Arabidopsis thaliana: one gene and its partner. The protein of the gene in region 2 interacts with the protein of the main gene of each other region in a pairwise test. Each region holds a gene or a part of one and is shown on either strand. Other genes may lie near its edges. The genes, in order: EMB3003 and AT5G55220.

What was found.
Region 1: the proteins of AT5G55220 (region 2) and EMB3003 interact in a two-hybrid assay, tested with the Arabidopsis thaliana proteins (one large-scale study listed by BioGRID).

The regions. Positions count from the first base shown.
Region 1 is NC_003070.9:12,587,096-12,592,130, forward strand, and holds EMB3003 (2-oxoacid dehydrogenases acyltransferase family protein), read right to left. Parts: upstream 3,129-5,035; 5' UTR 2,990-3,128; coding exon 2,132-2,989; intron 1,901-2,131; coding exon 1,709-1,900; intron 1,618-1,708; coding exon 1,530-1,617; intron 1,428-1,529; coding exon 1,357-1,427; intron 1,241-1,356; coding exon 1,157-1,240; intron 1,037-1,156; coding exon 932-1,036; 3' UTR 631-931; downstream 1-630. Other genes in the region: AT1G34420 (leucine-rich repeat transmembrane protein kinase family protein), read left to right, coding at 1-87, 171-475; AT1G34440 (uncharacterized protein), read right to left, coding at 4,253-4,332, 4,705-4,747, 4,947-5,035. UniProt on the Arabidopsis thaliana protein: The pyruvate dehydrogenase complex catalyzes the overall conversion of pyruvate to acetyl-CoA and CO(2).
Region 2 is NC_003076.8:22,395,627-22,401,582, reverse strand, and holds AT5G55220 (trigger factor type chaperone family protein), read right to left. Parts: upstream 4,127-5,956; 5' UTR 3,907-4,126; coding exon 3,586-3,906; intron 3,477-3,585; coding exon 3,393-3,476; intron 3,299-3,392; coding exon 3,170-3,298; intron 3,010-3,169; coding exon 2,921-3,009; intron 2,813-2,920; coding exon 2,629-2,812; intron 2,369-2,628; coding exon 2,278-2,368; intron 2,173-2,277; coding exon 2,018-2,172; intron 1,928-2,017; coding exon 1,835-1,927; intron 1,743-1,834; coding exon 1,650-1,742; intron 1,575-1,649; coding exon 1,494-1,574; intron 1,411-1,493; coding exon 1,261-1,410; intron 1,174-1,260; coding exon 1,078-1,173; intron 983-1,077; coding exon 905-982; 3' UTR 727-904; downstream 1-726. Other genes in the region: AT5G55210 (uncharacterized protein), read left to right, coding at 4,209-4,514, 4,593-4,730, 4,814-4,876; MGE1 (Co-chaperone GrpE family protein), read right to left, coding at 5,248-5,346, 5,482-5,610, 5,699-5,866. UniProt on the Arabidopsis thaliana protein: Involved in protein export. Acts as a chaperone by maintaining the newly synthesized protein in an open conformation. Functions as a peptidyl-prolyl cis-trans isomerase.

The DNA of each region.
Region 1 (5,035 bases), on a different chromosome or scaffold from region 2:
ACATTGAACTGTTCAAGGTAATCGATCCTTCCAAAAGCAACAGCAGCCTCTCAGCAGTTGCAGGCACCATCGGCTACATTCCACCAGGTGAACACATTATACAAAACTTATATGGGCTTGTCTGAGAAACAACAGCTCTCTTAATCTTTCACTTTTGATCACTTCATCAGAGTATGCTTACACGATGAGGGTGACAATGGCTGGGAACGTCTACAGCTTTGGGGTGATTCTTTTAGAGTTGTTAACTGGAAGGCCAGCTGTAAGTGAAGGAAGAGATTTGGCTAAGTGGGTGCAGAGCCATTCGAGCCATCAAGAGCAGCAGAACAACATTCTTGATCTCAGAGTGAGCAAAACATCAACTGTAGCAACAAAGCAGATGCTCCGTGCCCTCGGTGTTGCTCTTGCCTGCATAAACATCTCTCCTGGGGCAAGACCAAAGATGAAGACTGTTCTACGGATGCTCACAAGACTCTAATTAAAAGTGTCAGATGCATGATATGTAAATTTTTGCTTGTTACTGTATCTGTATGTATAAGCAGCATAGAGATTAGAGAGGTTTCTTTCCTCTGACAGACTATCATCTGCATCTCCATTTTTGAGATGCTGAGAGAAACAGGAAAGATGTAATGCATTCACAGTTGTAGTTTGAAAATTATCAGTCCATATAAGATTCATGTTATTAATCATGCTAAAGTTATCAGTTCATATAAGATTCATCGCATGAAGTGGATATATATGAAGTCAGTAGCAAAATCATGTGGGACGGCCTTTCCATGCAGAAAATGTTGCAGAAGATATATCTCAAACAAAGAAATGATTATGTTTAATCTTAAAAGGTTTGTTCTATCAAAGAAACTGATTACCGCAGAAATACAAGCTCCCATGGAATCAAAAGCAGAGAAGACTGGGATGCGAAAAGCAGTAATTTGGCCTAGAATGTAAGGTCCTTTGGGTCCTCAATAATGCTTGCCAATGTTTGCAAGAACTGTGCAAGATCAGCACCATAGATGACACGATGATCTGCCGTCACATTCACCTGTGGGTTTGCAAGTGACCAGTCATCATTAACAAGTTCCCAGGAAAACTCGAGACGTTTTCATGAAGACAAAAAGGAGAAGAGGAACAAGTTCTAACGATGGTTGATAATAACATTTACCTGCATCTGGTTTTTCATGCCAATGCGGCCGTCTTTAGTTGCAACCACTGAAGGTTGAGATGCTCCGACAGCCATAATCGCTCCCTTCATTGATCAAAGACAAGAAAACCAATGAGCTGTTATCCTTAGCATAATTATTAGGCTAAAAGACATAACCAAGATACAAACTAAAATACACGCATAAAGGTAAAAGCACTAACTGTTCCAGGGGGTAGAATAGCATCAAACCGATCAACGCCAAACATTCCTAGGTTAGAGAGAGTGAAGGTACCTGCAATTACCCGGAAGGGAAATAAAAACAACAAGACTCAAACAATCTAGTTGAAGGATTACTCAAACTCAAATCACTTCAATATTCTAGTAGTAGGATTACCAGTGTTGTACTCCTGAGGCTGCAGCTGCTTGGCTCGAGCCTTATCAACCAATTCTTTCCATTTTCTAGATAACGAATAAATGTCAACCTGTTTACAAAAGATAGAACAACCCACTGATACCGGTTTTGAATACAGAGTAAACTCAAAATCTCTTATAAAGCATACAAAAGAAAAGAACCTTATCAGCGTTCTGAAGCACCGGAGTGATCAAACCACCATCAATAGCAACAGCAACAGCAACGTTGATGCTACTATTATACACAAAACTGTTACCATCTCTACAAGACGAGTTTACAACTGGATGTTTCGCCAGTGCAAGTGCAGTTGCCTTTGCTAAAAGTGCCGTCATTGTCACACCTTTCGACTTAATCTAAACAAACCAAACACAAAATGTGAACCAAATCAACATTTACACTTACAGTTTGTAACTAGTGTATGCTTCTGATGCACATCATAAGATACTATCATTTATAATTCAACTAGCTATCTCTCATAATCTCATCCCAAAGTTCAAAACTTCATCAAGCAACTATTATCACAATCAATGGAATCTCCAGTCTACTCTATCATACCAACCAAACGGATTTCAAAACACACTCACCTTCTTGTAGAGAGCATCAAGAGCATCCGTACTAATCGTGTAACCGACTCTAAAAGTAGGAACACCAAGACTCTCCACCATATTCCTACTCACAGCCCCCTGCATTGTCGTAAAAGGAACCACCGATCCCAACTCCACACCAGGAGCTGCCACTACCTCCTTAACAGCAACAGCAGCTTGAACTCCTCCTCCAGCAGCAACCGCCTCAACATCTTTAGCCACAATCCTTCCCATCGGTCCACTTCCAACTAAACCAGCCAATTCAACCTTCAACTCCTTAGCTAACTTCTTAGCATAAGGAGACGCCACAATCCTCTTCCCTCCTTCAGACGCCGGATGCACCGCAGACGCCGCCACCGCCTTAATGGACACCGGAGCAGCTGCAACCTTCTTCTCAACACTCACAGGTGCTTCAACTGCAGCCGTGGGAGGAGAAGCCGGAGGAGCCTTAGAATCACCACCACCACCACCACCAGAAGCTTTAGCTTTAGCATCAGCAATCTCATCTTCAGTTTCAGCTAACAAAGCAATAGCAGAACCAACAGGAGCAACACCACCTTCTTCAACCATGATTGCAGCTAGATAACCATCATAGAAAGTCTCAACATCCATATCAGCTTTATCAGATTCAACAACAACAACACTCTCTCCTTTGTTGAGTTTATCGCCTTCTGATTTAACCCAAGAGACGATTTTGCCTTCGGTCATCGTGGAACTTAGTGCAGGCATGAAGATTTCTCGGATCTTTGCTTGAATTGGGATGATTCTGGGCTTTACCCGGAAACCCGTAACGGAAGATCGTGTTTTTGTGGGGAGGGAAACTGAAGGTAAGAAGGGTGTTTGGAGAAGACGAGACATTTTTCGAATTTCGTTAATCGCAATGCGAGAGAGAGAGAGAGATAGAGAGAAATGAGATATAAGAAGAGTGAAGAAGCTCCTCGGAATTATCGAAGAGCAGGCGGAGTTTGCCAACTAATTTACCGGTGACGATCACTGTGTGACTCTTACTAGTGTATTGAAGGTGTGATACACGCGCGTTTTTGTTGTTGGGTATTGGGCTTTTTTCGAAGGCCCAATAGAGAACTATTCTGTAATCTTTTTAAAACCTTTAACCACATGTTAAGTTTTTTTACCATACACATTTTTCGCCCTGATTTTATAGTTTTTTACAGTTTTCATATAAGATTATCTCCAATGTAAATCTCTATTTTTCTCTGTAAAATAAAGCATGATTTCTCTCTTATGTATTATTTTATATGTTATTCTATTTTTAGAAGAAAATTTCATAAAAGAAAATTAAGGAGAAACTTATATTTTGTGTTTTAAAAAAATTTCGGTATACAAATTTGTTTGATGTTTGATCCATTATAAATATTGAATTTAAAGATAAATATAATTTTTAATATATTTCTTTGGTAAATGATAAATAATCTGGACAGTTGCAGAATATTAGTGTATAATACTTATAATATTATTTAGGGGTTATTGTCAAAAGAGGATGTTTTTTGATAAAAATTTTGATTTTGAGGCTTTTGTGTATGATCTTTGAAAAAGAGTAGTTTTGATAGGGCGATTTGATCATTTTACCCCTGAATAATCTCATCATCTTCTCTCATCATCTTCTTGCACGCTCCTCTTCTTTTAAATCCAATTTTTTTTCCAAATCTCATATTCTTAAAATCTATTCTAACTAAAAACATTCATTGATTCACAATAATTAAACCCTAAAGATGATAGTATTTATGAAACCAAAGCAAAAAATTAAACGAACGAAATGAAATCATCTTGCAAATGAAGAAGAAGGTGAATAGTAAAAACAGAGTTTCAGATTTGTGGCAGATCTGCAATCGAGTATTCGAAATCAAAGCTTTTCAATAATCATTTGCGTCCTCACTATTCACCATTAATGATATTTTGTTTATTGGAAGAGAATTCCATTCAAAAACTAAACCCTAATGATTATTGTAAAGGGAACCCAAGCAAAAAAAATCAAACGCACATTGATAAGTTTCTGAGATAGAATCTGATGATAAAGAGGAAGATCAGAGAAAAGAAAAAGAAACTGAGCCATCTCTCTCATGATTCACGGCCGCCGACGCCGTTCGTTACCATTGAAGGAGCTCATCTTAAGGGACAAAACCAATCAACTATCGTCACCGGAGCTAGCCCCGCTTCAATCACGTTGTAAAAAATCAATTGATCTGCAGAGAGAGAAAGAGATTTGATGGAAACGGAGACAGATCCAGTTGTTAATGGCGATGATGATGGCGTCGGTGGTTACGTTGGTGATGATGATGATGAGGGTTGATAACGACGACGACGACAACACAAAAAAGTCATACAATTTTTATTTGTTTTTGTGGTTTTTTAGACAAATAAGTCTATTATTTATGATTATTTATCGAATATCTAATAAAATGCCAAAAATTGTTTGCTTCAACGAATAATTTAGGAGTCCATTAATGAATAACATGACAATTTTGTTTTGGGCCGAAACCCACAAAACTTTCTTCAGATCATTTCACATATTGATTGATTTTTGTATTTTATTGAAAAGATAAATGTTTATTTACCTGAATAGATAATTCTAGAAGAAACCTTGTCTTTTCTTCTTCTCTAAACAAACACACACCAAAATAAAATCAAACGGTTGTTCGTAGTATGAATCACTTGCAATTTGTTTTGATAATCAATACACTATGACACCGTTTATCATCTGTTAATCGCTAATCTGAAATTTTTTTTTTTTTTTTTTTTAAATTTTTACTAGAAAAACATAACATATATGATAAATGCCGAGAAGGGGTACGCAAACCTGAAACAGAAACAAACAAGGCCGAGGCCCGAAACAAGAGGACGCAGCCCCCGCAGCAAGAGGAAGGTCCAAACACAAAGTGAACCCAA
Region 2 (5,956 bases):
GATTTATATTATCCAATTACAATATTGTAAATATTTATTATCGCTATCAGTCGAAATTCATATTTGTTTTAAAGTATGATGCAAGAGGATAAAACATTTTTAGGAATTTTGAATTAATATCAAATACAGTTGACAAAGATAAACACATAAATTAATTATCAGATATCTGTAAAGTAAACTGGAATTATAAATGTTAGTTTGAAATACTCAGATCAAACATTGACATCTTTGACATTATAGTCTTGCATTCAAAATAGATGAAAAGTTCTCCGGAGAATTGCTGATTTTGAATAAAATTCTGTTTTCAAATTAGCAGTATCTTCGATATTATTCCTTATTAATAAATCCAATCACTAGTTGGTTAGAAACTTCTTTTTTTTGTATTGAACTGTGTTTATTATTAGTTGGGAAAATGGTGTAAGTACTAGCCTACTCGGATTGGTGAAATTTAATTTACCTTTCCATAATTTAACATGGATCATGAGGAAGTAGTTCGTAAATACAGCTAAGACAAGTAGCAAAAGTGATGAGGTCAGAGGGAAGATTAGTCCATATAGAACCAAACTAGAAAAGACGAAGAGTCTCTTTTTTTTTTTGTCGAAATAAAAAACAAGTCATAGTCAAAATGACTCAATGTTAGTTGGCAAATTCAATATGAAATCGACGTAAATACTTATATCTATACCATCTATATCCAATAAAACACATTGACTATAGAATCAAAAAGTGACCTAAATTACAAAATAAAAAGCAACGTTTCTGTTAATAATTTATTGCACCTATCAATTCAAATATAGTCAAAGTTCTCTTCTTCTGACAAAATCAATCATAATTGTACATCAAAACCAAATTGCTCATACAAAAACAGAACATGCCAATCATACATACATTACCTATATGCTAATCAACGAGTGATGTATTGAATCTCGGCTCGGTCTTTTAACCATTCAAGCACTTTTGCTCCTTCTAAAATCTCTTGTACCTAACCAACCACCAATTCAAGAAGAACCTCTCTCTTTCAGTTATCTTATATAGGCTCAAGAAACTGATAGTGCTTAGATTCACAAGAGAACTAACCTGATCTTTCACACGCTCCTCGTCGAACTCTTGTTTATGTTTCTTGAATTCTGAGATCGAGTTTTCGACCTCTTTAACTAGTTCATCTGTTGAGAACTGCATTCAAGTATTTCGACAATGTTTTTGTTACTAAAAATGTATTGTTTCTTTCTTGGAGACAGAGTATCATGCATATAAATATACCTCTAAGTTTTCGCGCTTGAAGATATCTCCAACAGCTATATTCTGCTTGATTATGTTGGTGATGCTCTCTCTTTGAGTTTCTAGAAACTCATTTACTGCTTTTTGACTTGAAAGAGAAGCCAACTGGTCTTCGTTAAGCTTCATGTTTCCCTGCAGCACCATATTCAACCTTAAGAATCTGAGTGACAGTAAAAGAGAGTAAGAGATCAACAACAGTCACTGAAAACACTTGCCTGAATCTCTAGAAGCCTAGCTCCATAAAACTGTCTTCCTTGTTCCTCAAATAAAGATTGAGGAATCTCTACTTCAACCATCTAAAAAAAAAGAAGCAAATGATGTTTGATCAACGATGTTAATGCTTCAAATGATATATGGAATTAGATGATGACCTTTCGAATCTGCTCAAGGATGGCGTTGTCTGTCGCTTGCTCCTTGGCTTCCTGCTCCATCTCTTGACATCTTTTAGCCAGAGTTTCTTCAACCTGTTTACTTGTTTCATTAGCGAATTACACTGATATAAGACAAAAAAAAAAATTGTATAATTTGTTGAAAATAAAATCCATGTGTTCATTACCTCCTTTAAAGTGGTGCATCCAGGAAGCAATTTATCAGCGAGTGAGTCATCTAATGTTGGTAAATCTCTGTAGAAAAGTTCCTTGCAGTCAACCTTAAGAAAACATACACAATTAGCTGTCCCAAATATGATCTCTTTGTAATCATCTTTTTCTATGTTTGGTATATAGAAAGACGAGCTCACAGTGAATTGAGCACGTTGGCCACGTAGACTTTCTTGTTTCCATGATTCAGGAAACACAAGCGTGAATGACTTTGATTCGCCTGCTCGAATTCCTATGATTGCATCAAGGAATCCAGGAAGTAATCTATTCCCTTCTTCAGTGTCAAAGTGAAAACCTGTTCACACAACCGCCAATCTCAGTATTCATTTGCAAGCAATGATTTCAATGGACTAAGAGATTTCAACCACAAATCTCTGTTGAAATATAACAGTTCTAAAACCTTTGCTTTCAGCATCTGGAATCGCTTGACCCGTTGACCCGTCCTCATCTATAGTTGTAGCAGAAATATCAACAACTGCTAGATCTCCCACCTACACGGTTTTAGGACATAATAAAAAAGCAATTCTAGCAACTATATCATCTTTGCAGAGTTAACTACGAACAAATGAAGCCAGATTCATAGCCAAATTATTTTAAAAAAACTTAAATCTATAATAAGCTATAGTGGATGAACTTAAATGTAACGACTAACGAGGTAAAAGGTCGGTCCTATTTTAACTCAGCAATTAGCAACCTTACACTAGTTTCAGAAAACAATGCAAGGACATGGGGAATTTATGCATTCCTTTACCTGTAGCCCTCGCTCGGTTACAATCTTCAACGCACCAAGAGACTTGTATTTCTGTCTTAGTTGTCTTTCACAAGCTTTTTTTGCATCTATCTCATCGCCTAGTTCTACAACGACCTTCATATTTTTATACCCATCCTCAGGATTCCATTTTAGTTCAGGTACAACATCAACAACCACCTCATAACTAAGGAACAAGAGAAAATCAGAAAAAAAAAAACAAAAAAAACATGTTAAGTTAGTTAGCATCATTACTCCAAAAGATTTTTAGTATATGTGATGAAGAAACAAAAACCTAAGAGTCTTGAGCTTAGAATAAGCCTTCTCCATATCTGGAAAACTGCTTACAATCTGTATCGAGTCTTTTAAAGCCCTTCCAGTCACCTACAAAAACCAAAATCTCATATGCATAATGTTCCAAGACAACAAACACCGAATTTAGATACACCACAAGACTTGTTCTTGCCAAATGGCCAAAACATTATATTAAACCGCGGAAGATTGAAAAACATAAACAAACTAATATAAACATTTGAAAACTTACTGATTCCATGGCGTGAGGAAGTGTTCTCTTTAAGATAGATTCAACAGTTGCTCTCAGAACATATTGCCTCCCAACGAAACCAACAATAATATTCTCTGGAACTCTTGTTTTAGGACGGAATCCAGGCACCTGATTCAAACCAAGTAAAATCACAATCAACAGCAAGCATTACATGGATCAAGTTTCAACATTTCATCTTCATGTAAGATGAATATTAGTTTACCTTTGAGAGTTTCATGAATTCGGTAAGGACTCGTTGGTAACAATCTTCACAGACAATTTCTGGAACTTCCACACTCAATTTCACCTAAATTGAACAGTAAATCAAATTTCAAGTCATGTCAAAACTCAGACCAAACACAATGCTACACATATTCTCCAACAAATAGACAAAAAAAAAATTGAAAGTCTCTTACACTTGAATTCGCCTGTACAGTCTCCGTGACCTTAAGATCAGCTGGAAGTTTGTCTTCCTTTACACTAGTTTCAACCGCTGGAGAAGCCGCCGCGAATAGCCTAAAATTACCACCATGTGACATAAAATCTCCGAAAAATCCAATTTTTCTAGAGACACAAGACATGTCCAAAGGCCTGCTAATTGGTTTCTTCAACCTCCCACCAAACTGTAGCACACTATCTGATTGGAAGAGACGGGAACTAACACGACGTGTAATAGACGGAAGAAACGGATTAATTGCCTTCACCGTCGTAGTCGTGCTGATAACACAGAGCTCCATTTTCGCTCTCTCTTCTTGCTTATACTGAACAGAGCTAATGAATGAAGCGCCACTTCTTCTTGCTTCTACTTTCAGATAAACAGAGTTATCTCCTTAAAACGCTGCGTTTCGACTAATCAACAAATCTCTCTTTAAAACGCTACGTTTCAACTAATTAACAATTATCTCACTAAAACGCCGCGTTTTGAAGCCATATCACATAAATACGCCGCGTTTGTGGCTATATCACATCAAAACGCAGCGTTTTCTAGCTGATAGATAAAGCAACTATTTTCCCGGCTAGTGAGAAGAGAGAGAAGAGAATGGAAGGTGTAGGATCGAGATTGAGCCGGACGTCATCGAGATACAGTGGTCCGGCGGCGACGGCGGTGTTCAGTGGCCGTGTAAGGAAATGGAAGAAGAAGTGGGTACGTGTCTCAACCTCATCCGTCGGTGTTTTCAGAGCATCTAAATCCAACGGTCGTAACAACAGCAACAACAGTAACTCACCACACCATCTACTTCTCCATAAGTGGACTCCACTTACCTCAGCGACGGTTACTGCCTCCGACGCTAATGGTTCCGGTGAGACAGAGGAGTCGCCTAAGCGAAGATTCAGATACGCTCCAGTAAGTTTTTTTTCCCCAAATCATTAAATTAGGGTTTTAGTTGTGTGGGATTAGTGGAAAATGATTGATTTTGTGTAGATTGCGATGCTTGAGCATAGAGAAAAAGTGATTTCTAAGGATTCTGAAATTGAAGAGACTGAAGAATTCGACACTGAATCTCCATTACCTAAAGCTGTTGAGCTAGACATGAACCTAACAGACTCAGACCAAACTAAGGTAAGCTTCATTTAAAACTCAAGCAATGTAATGAAAGTGGTTAGTGTTTGTTCATACTTGTGTTTTATAAACTTACTCTGCAGGAAGCAAAAACTGGTAATTTGAATCTGGGACTGTGTCTGAATTCTGAAGGGACTGAAGAATGAAGAGAATCATATTGATTTGGGATGAGCAACTATAAAATGTGTTCAGCTGTGATGATGTCTTATATTGTATCTTATGCTAGGCGGTTATTCCACTTTGACGTCTTCTAGATCTCTATGTAGTGTGTTTGTAAGTTAGGAAGAAGTTATATAAATGTAAGATTTGAAGCTTTTACCAAGAGTTTGGCTTTGGCTTATGAATTTGTGTAAAAGTTACAGAACCAGGGCTTCCCTGGAAGTACAGAGCATAGTCATGCTACCTTATGGGAATCTTGTTCCTCCAATGAATATGCAAAGAAAGAGAACTATTAACTAAAAAAAGAACTCATGAAGATGTTAAAAACAAAAGCTTAACTCTCGATGTTTTAAGTATTTCAAGCTGCAGACTCTTTGCCGCCTTCTTGATTCTCCACGGCGCAAGTAACACCAACCTCAGCTGGCCTTATAACTCGATCGTACAATGAGTATCCAGACTGCAAATATGGAAGAAAAAAAAACAGTTATAAAATGATGGCAGAGAATCCATGATATTGTGTGGATTTCTAAAAGTTAACATAGGCTTAAGAGTTAAAGCAAGAAAGAGAGCAATCCTTTGAATAGTTTAGTACCTTTAGGACATGAGCAATTGTGCCTTTTGGCTTGGAAGCATCTGGGACTTGGAACACTGCGTTATGTCTGTTTGGATTAAACGGTTCATTTAAAGGATCTTCTTTCACCAAACCAGCTTTTCTAAACACCTGCAGTTTTACATACAAAATTGCATTCTCAGCACCAGTCTTATTATCATTGTTTACCTCAAAAGATATATATAATGGACGTTTTTACCTCAGCTAATTGTTTCTCAGTCATCTCCACTCCTTCTAATAGGTTTTTTAACAGTGGAGTAGCACCAGCCAAATCTTTTGAAGTGTCGATCTTCGAAAAACTCTCTTTGACAACAGAAGAAGCTCTTTCAAGATTATCCGCCACATCCAAAAGGCTCGTTGCAAAGTTCTGCAGCACAACAAAACATATTCAGCACTGGATTATACACAAAGCAAAACGAGTTAATACAAGAAAGAAGAAAAAGGATTCGCGGAGTAG